2 linked regions of the Macaca mulatta genome follow. The protein of the gene in region 1 purifies or fractionates together with the protein of each later gene. This does not show direct contact. Links are inferred from orthologs where the notes say so. Each region holds a gene or a part of one and is shown in the gene's direction. Other genes may lie near its edges. The genes, in order: PDHA1 and RAB7A.

The links.
Region 2: the proteins of PDHA1 (region 1) and RAB7A fractionate together in Homo sapiens (co-fractionation; 3 studies listed by BioGRID, with this or other methods). This does not show direct contact. The link is inferred for Macaca mulatta from reciprocal best matches to the Homo sapiens genes PDHA1 and RAB7A.

What each region holds. Positions count from the first base shown.
Region 1 is NC_133426.1:19,079,375-19,083,963, forward strand, and holds the start of PDHA1 (pyruvate dehydrogenase E1 component subunit alpha, somatic form, mitochondrial), read left to right. Parts: upstream 1-1,508; 5' UTR 1,509-1,617; coding exon 1,618-1,674; intron 1,675-4,589. UniProt on the Homo sapiens protein: The pyruvate dehydrogenase complex catalyzes the overall conversion of pyruvate to acetyl-CoA and CO(2), and thereby links the glycolytic pathway to the tricarboxylic cycle.
Region 2 is NC_133407.1:155,147,306-155,151,114, reverse strand, and holds part of RAB7A (ras-related protein Rab-7a), read left to right. Parts: intron 1-953; coding exon 954-1,082; intron 1,083-3,809.

The sequences.
Region 1 (4,589 bases):
ACGTCCATCTCTGCCTTTTAATGGCACCCTCTGACTCTTTTAAGAAGTTTTCTTCCACTACAACATGGTCATCAAGTTGGAAGGACTCAACACGATCTCTCAGTCCAGGGTCTGACCCAGTGCCCAAATTCTTTCTCTAGCTATGCCGAGAGCTGGTCATGCTTTGAACTTCTGCTTTGAATACTTTCAGTGACACTGGGGGAGAATTATCTCATTGGACCATTGTCATTGTTAGAAAATTCATTGTTATGCTGAAATGAAAGGATTTTATTCACACACACACACACACACACACACACACACACAATAGCTCTTCCTCCTGTAACATGACTGGCCTGAAAATGTGTGAAGACATATCCAATCCTCTCTGGTTTTATTGTTCATTCAGTTTTCTGTTCTCCTCCTGGCAGGATTATATTTCACCTTGTGGAACCCAGACATGGTCGGGTAACTAGCTCTGGTCTGTGAAAATTGAGAGGAAGTGACATGTGTCACTTCTGGACAGAAGCTTTGAGAGCCGGTTTAAATGATCCCTTTTGCCTTCATCCATGAGACAAGCTAAGTTCCACAGAGAGGGTGCCACGCTGCGAAGGACCTGTGTTATGAGCACGATGGCTCGTGCCACTTCAAATTCCTCAAGTGACTGAAATTTGGAGGTCAGTTGTTACCACATCATAACCTAGCCAATTCTAGTTAGCCTGTTTTCTTCCTAACTTCTTTAATCGTTCTTCATAAGTCACAATCTCAGCCCCTCACCATTCTGACCACTGTCCCCTGGATTCCACTCAGCTTAGTCATTATCCCCCTTAAAATGTGGAGCCCAAATGTGAACCCCAGGTGCAATCCCACTAGGGCACAACAGAATGGGTTCCTGTGCCCTTTGATCCTCTGAATAGAGCCTCTTGTTGCTTTGGTGTTTGTCTCTGTGTGTGCTTTCATCATTGGCCGAGCCACGCTGTTAACTCGCAGTGAACCAATAACTAGAGAAAAAAGATTTTTCCCATTGACCTCTCGACATATATTGGGAAACAAATTTTTTGATCCGCGTTCAAGTAGACAGGGCAGAATTTTCCAACTGCTACGTGATCTTTTAAAGACAAGTTAGTGGCAGACCATTTACAGAAACCAGGTGTTCTGTCTTTTGGCTCTGAGCATGCTGCTAATCTTCATCATCTCGTGTACTGAGCGAGGGCTGCAGAGCTGCAGCACCGGCAGGACTAGGCGCTCGATAGTACCGGGCGCTGCAGTGCGAAATCTAGGAAGGCGCCTTTCCCGCGGCGCCCTGGAGGCGGGACCCCAGCTTCCCACGCAGGCGCTCTCAGGTCCCGCCTCCTCACCCGCCCGCCGCGTGGCGTCGGAAAGAGCGCTCAGCCCCTCCCTCTCTGGCGCTGATACCCAATGGGCAGCCGCAGGCCTTTAGCGGGGGCGGAGCACCCCCTGGACGCCGTTCTGGTTGGCCTGTGGCCCGGCGCAGTGCATGACGTTATTATGACTCTGTCACGTCGCGCTGCGACTGAGGCGTGGCGTCTGCTGGGGCACCTGAAGGAGACTTTGGGACACCCTCGTCGTGCCTCTTGGGTTGTGAGGAGTCTTCGCTGCCGCCAGTGCCTGTGCTTCATGAGGAAGATGCTCGCCGCCGTCTCCCGCGTGTTGTCTGGCGCTTCTCAGAAGCCGGTGAGACCTCCTGGGCGGCCGGGGTGGGGCGCGAGCGGGGCTGGAGGGCGGGCCGGGCCGGGCCACCCAGAGCTGGGTAGAAGGAGCTAGGGGAGCCGGGGAGCCTTTACTTCGCCCCCACGCCCTGCTTTCCGTTCCTGGCCTCAGCAGAAGCGACGCGGACCGGGATCCTGCCAAGGTCCCTGTGGACTTCCCCCTTCTCTACACCCCGCTGCCGCCGCCGGGCCCAGCTGTGCGCCGGGCGAAGTCAGTGTGCTCAAGAGGTGCCTGTTGGTTTACAGGACTCGGAAAGGGTGGCCTCGGCCTCCTTCGAGTCTCCGATTGACCCTACTCATTTCAGATCTTCCTAACTTAATTTCTCTTGACCGAGAGGCTTTGTAATAGCGTAGAATCTGGAGACGGAGTGGCTCCGTTCAAACAGCACCCTCACCATTGACTAACCCTGTGACCTTGAGCAAGTTTTTAAACTTCCCGGGGACCCGGTTTCCTGAAATGTTTGCGCTAAGTGGAGTTAATCTCTGAATGGAGATAAGAGTTATCTCTGAAATGTTATCGGTTATTAAAATGTTATCAGTTAACTCTAAAATGGAGTTTTAGAGTTGTTTTGGGGTTGTCTTGAGGATTCAACGAGTGACACGTGTGGATACGATTCCAAATAGCACCCGGCACATAATCGATAGCATGTGTGTTGAATAGTGTTATTTATTGAGTGTCCCGTTCGGTATACATTTCTTGAACACCTGTGCTCAGTTCTGAGGCGGGTTCACAGAGGGTCAGCCTCTTCAGAAACAAACTTCCTCCCCTTCCCTCTCCTTCAACATCTGAGCTTTTCTTGGCAGTGAGTTCAGGAGTGCGGAAGCAGAACTCAGAGGACGCTGCCCTCCCCTCCCCTTACCTACACATTCTTGGGGTACAAGTAGCTAAAGCAAACAGCAACGATGCTTGAGGGGCGGGGGGTAGAGTCCAGCACTATTTCATGGCCTCAGCATTTAGAGGTGCCTAACACCTAAGCTTCTAGCATTCTGACCCCTAGGCACAGTGAGGTCGTGTTCATTGGTGTAACTGCAGGCCTCGGGATTCTGGTAATTCCCCCAGGACTTGATACGGCTCTAAGTACAGGCAGAGATTGTCAAAAGGTAAGAGGTATGCCCCTCTAGGAATCCTGTTGCCTAAAATAATGACAGAACTGCCGGGTGCGGTGGCTCAAGCCTGTAATCCCAGCACTTTGGGAGGCTGAGGCGGGTGGATCACCTGAGGTCAGAAGTTGGAGATCAGCCTGGCCAATGTGGTGAAACCCCATCTCTACTAAAAATACACAATTAGCTGGGCATGGTGGCGGGTTCCTGTAATCCCAGCTCCTCTGGAGGCTGAGGCAGGAGAATAGCCTGAGCTCGGGAGGTGGAGTTTGCAGTGAGTGCCATTACGCTACAGCCTGGGCGACAAGAGCAAGACTCCGTGTTTAAAAAAAAAAAAAAGTCATTCCCTTTGGGGATATCTGTGGGTAGAGGGCTGTACCGGTAGTTATGGGCTTAGAAACATCCTTCCTTTAGGCACCCCGATGTAGGTTTATTATTTCTTCTGCAAGTCAGGTTTATCGTTTCCTCTATCAGTTTGCAGGGTCTCCCCCCGCCCCCACCTTACAGTAGGAAGAAAATTGAATTCCAGATATGAAGTCACCTTAGAAAGTGCCCAGGTATCTTTCCACTTAGTGGTGTAAACTCTTCAGATAATTAGGAAGTTTTCTGTGTCACTCAACTTGTCGTGGACTAATTAGGAACAATTCCTGAAGCTTTTAAGGGTAGAACTAAAAGTTTCACCTTTATCTTTTTAAAGGGTGGAATAATTAACGTGTTGACTGTTTTTTGTAATTCTTCATACTTATGGATGTCTTTTTACTTAACTATAAGAAGATAGATCAAGGTTTTAATTTTTTATATTATACATGTAAAAAGACATTTTGTATATAAGCCTTTCACAAAAATCCTGACAGTAAACAATAAGCAGTGGCTCACCCAAATTAGGCAGACTTACTGAACTAGATTCCTACCATCTGTGTGATACTCCATGAAGGGAGGGATAAGTTTAGGCAGCTGGTCTGATGGCTGTGACACAAGTTAATCCCCTTAACCTCCCAAGATGCTGTGCGTTTTTTCCTTTTTCATTTTTTATTCTCCCTGGTATTTTTGTTTTGTTTGAGATAGAGTCTCTTTGTCACCCAGGCTGGAGTGCAGTAGCATGATGACAGCTCACTGTAGCCTCAGCCTGCCGGGCTCGAGCGATCCTCCTACCTTAGCCTCCTGAGTAGCTGGGAACATAGGCGTGCGCCACCATCACACCCAGCCAATTTAAAAAAAATAAATTTTTTTAGTAGAGGCATGGTTTCGCTATGTTGCCCAGTCTGGTCTCCATCTCCAGGCTCAAGCAGTCCTCCCACCTGGGCCTCCCAAAGTGCTGGGATTGCTCTCACTCTCTTAAAACCAGGCAGGTGGGGAGATTCATCTCAGGTTTAAAGATTGCCATTGTCTTATCAAAGAGTGTGTGTTGTGAAACTTTGAAATGAATTTCAAGATTGTGTTTTCATTTTTGAATAAGGTCTATAGTTTTCATAGTTCTTATTTCATGGAAGAAGACAGAATTGCATTTAAAATGTTATTCTTTGTTTTATTGTTTGCATTTCTGTATGACTTTTTGAGATCTTTACTGTGTTTTGGCTTTATAAGTGGTAGGTAAGAGTTTTAATTTACACTGTTAGAATATGGAATTTTTGAAACATTTTTCCTCTTCCACATGAATGATTCCTATGTATTTAGGAAGTTAAAGTTTTACTTTTTTTAAATTAATTTTTTTTTTAGGCTGGACTGCAGTGGCACAATCATAGCTCACTGTAGCCTCAGATGTGCGCCACCACACGTGAC
Region 2 (3,809 bases), on another chromosome or scaffold:
ATAGATATTGTCACAGACACTTGCTCCCAAGGGGCCTTGTGAATTTGGAGGGTTCTCTGCTAAGCTCACATGGCTCTAGGAGGTGCTGGTGGGAGTCTTCATCACCCTATGCCAGCCCTTCAGGCCAACTGCCTTTAAGGACTGGGACCCAGGTGACCTGGGTTAAGTCCCCATCCTGCTCCCAGCTGGCTGTGACTTTACGCCATTGTCTTGGCTATCTCAACTTCAGTTCCCTTTCTGCACTTTGAAGGAGGGAATTCAGTTTTGTCATTCTCAGTAGTGCCCTCCCAGTACCTCCAGGCCGTGCTTGGATCTCCATGTGTGCAGAATATTGCTTTGGGCTTTGAGTGAAATTGCTGTACTATAGTTATAGTTTCAAATATCATTTCTGTTGGAAACATAGACTCTTTGATTAATTACGACTACGTTTATTTCTGACCATGGATCTTTTTTCCTCCCCTTCCTAAGTGACTTAGTCCTTATCTCTTGGCTGAAAATGGGCTAGGGGTTGGGGAAGGAATGAGAATGTGAGAGTGGCATGGGTGACATCACACTAGCAGTAATGGTAAAGGGACTCTAAACCTTAAGACCAAGCTGCTGGGCATTTCCTGTCCTGGGATCTCTGAGGTCCCAGTAAACACTCTTCATTTCTTCCCAGACTGGCTTCTTACTCCATTCACAAATGGCTTTTAAGTATAACTGAGGGTCAGAAGGTATGAGCTGTAGACTGAGACAGGCTTTGAGCTCTCTAGCTGAATCCTAGCTATCCTGAGCATAGCCAGCAGGGCGAGTTTGGACGGGTCTACTGGTCTCTTCCAACACCCTCTTTCCCCACATCTGTGTCCTCACCTGTACCACCTGTAGACGAGGGACCATGACACTTCCTGGGGAGGATGGAGTCAGTGCTAGCTGCTTCTATCATGAGCCTGTGTGCACCCTACTTCTCCTTTCAGGTGGCCACAAAGCGGGCACAGGCCTGGTGCTACAGCAAAAACAACATTCCCTACTTTGAGACCAGTGCCAAGGAGGCCATCAACGTGGAGCAGGCGTTCCAGACGATTGCACGGAATGCACTTAAGCAGGTGGGTCTCCCACAGCTGACCTGCCCACTCTTGTGATGCCTGACCACTGACCCAGTCCCTGCCTGACCTCCTGCCCTTAATCTTCTTCCCTAACCCACTCTTTTCTATGTAGTCAGAATACCCTAAGTGTTCATCTGGGAAGGTTAGGACATGCTCTGCTTAAGCTTCCAGAAACCCCACTTTGGGGAAATAACCTAAAAGATGTAGAGGCTGGGAAGACTGAGACTGCCCTTCTTTTACTAGGCTTGTTCTTATTTTCTTGGCTGCGATTAGGAGATCAGGTCACTGGGAGACCCCTGATCAGATTGCTGCTCTATTTAAGAAGGAACTTAACTTGAATACAAATCCCAGCTCTGCTGCCTACCAATCATTATATCTAGTTTGGGCTTAAAAATATATATATTATGGCCAGGCATGGTGGCTCACGTCTATAATCCTAGCAGTTTGGGAGGCCAAGGCGGGCCGATCACTTGAGGTCAGGAGTTTGAGACCAGCCTGGCCAACATGGTGAAACCCCATCTCCACTAAAAAATAAAAAGAAAATTAGCCAGGCCTGGTGGGGGTTGCCAGTAATCCCAGCTACTCAGGAGGCTGAGGCAGGAGAATTGCTTGAACCCAGGCGGCAGAGGTTGCAGTGAGCCAAGATTGCACCACTGTACTCCAGCCTGGGTGACAGAGTGAGACTCTTTCTCAAAAAAAAAAATTAAAAATAAAATTATATCCGAACTTCTACCCCCTCACCTGAAAAATGGGAATACCTGCTTTTGCAGGGTGATTATGAAGATTAAATGAGACCAACTTTTTCAGCTCTCACATACTGACAGGTAACTTTTTTCCTTAGGAACAGTTAAGTAAACAAGGAAGAAAATGTAGGAAAACTATTCAAGGAATACAATACCTAGAATTTCTTACTTACTGTTTCTGTGATTAGATACAACCACTCATGCGAGTTGAAAGTCTTTTTTTTTTGTTTTGTTTTGTTTTGTTTTGTTTTGTTTTGTTTTGTTTGAGACGGAGTCTTGCTCTGTCACCCAGGCTGGAGTGCAGTGGCCGGATCTCAGCTCACTGCAAGCTCCTCCTCTCGGGTTCACGCCATTCTCCTGCCTCAGCCTCCCGAGTAGCTGGGACTACAGGCACCCGCCACTTCGCCCGGCTAGTTTTTTGTATTTTTTAGTAGAGACGGGGTTTCACCGTATTAGCCAGGATGGTCTCGATCTCCTGACCTCATGATCCGCCCGTCTCGGCCTCCCAAAGTGCTGGGATTACAGGCTTGAGCCACCGTGCCCGGCCGAAAGTCTGTTTTGATGTACAACTCTGTTAGGGGCAGTGGTGATTAAGGCAGATCACGAGGCCTCATCAGACAGGGTCTGGGGGTGGTCAGAGGTGTGACAGGTTTGGGGGGATGCATAGAGCACTTGAAGCACATAGTGGCTGTGAAGGGCAAGGCAGATTCTGCTGACTCCAGGAAGCCGGCAGAATGAAGGTAATGGCTTTCAGCAGGACAGAGAGTTGTTTGGAATGGTTGCTCCAAGGACCAGGGAAATTCTGGCATGAGTGGGGTCTGCACTAAGTGTTCCAGAATGAAAGGGACAGACCTACTCAGTGAGGAAATTGTTCCACCCAGAATGCCAGGAGAGCCCTCAAGTGGTAAGGAAAAGACCAAGATGCAGACTTGGCCACCCTCACCCACAAATAATAAACGGTTGTGTTTTTCTTAATGTTCATATAAGGGAATGGAAATCCAAATCGTGTAGGATAGTGTTTCCCACCTGTTTCCCTGTTGCCTGGCATCACCGTCTGAGTTTTTCTCTTCCATCACTACTGTCCCTGTTGTCTTTATGCTTTTATTTTTAGAGCTAGCCCCTAAGGAGTTAGATTGTTACATTGGAGGGTCTGTTTTATTATAAGTTAGGGTGCCAGGTTGCTTTCCCCAAGGGGAATAACATTTCAGCAGCGTGGGCTTGCTTTGTTCTACCTCCTTGCCAGCAAGCAATAGGTGTCACTTGTCACTCTGCTGACATTGCCAATCTTTGGGTGTATAAATTGCCACCATCGTGGCTACTGTTCCCTCTGAGTCCCTCTTCCTGGGGCTTAGCCATTTGGATTTTCTCTGCTGCACACAGCTAGCACATAGCACATGGTTGGGCCTCTCTCAGTTCTCATGAGCTGCTAGTCAATTGAAGTTAATTCTACTTGCATCTCAAGTGACTTTTTCAACTCTGTGGTATTTTTAAGTCCTTTGAACATAGGAAAAAAGTAATTTTTTATTTGGGTATGTCATTTTAAGTTTCTGTGTTTCCTGTGTCTACATCAGATTTTTCTCTAATTCAGCTGGAATTTGTTTTGGCTTATGGCAGGAAAGAGAGACTTGCCTTTTCTCTCAGAGAGCTCAGCCAGTTGTTTGAAATCATTCGGCTATGTTACATAAGCCGTTTCCCTCCCTGAATAGACCGTGGCCTGTGCTAAATGCTCATATGTGCTGGGATCTGTTTCTGGTCTCTCCAGTCTGTACTGGTGATGTCTATGCCATGTTCCCTTATCTGGACTGTCTTGATTTCACTGCCTGATAAGGCAAGTTTCCTCTTGCCACATTCTTTTTTTTTTTTTTTTTTTGAGGTAGAGTCTTGCTCTGTTGCCCAGGCTGGAATGCAATGGCGTGATCTCAGCTCACTGCAACCTCCGCCTCCCGGGTTCAAGTGAATCTCCTGCCTCAGCCTCCCAAGTAGC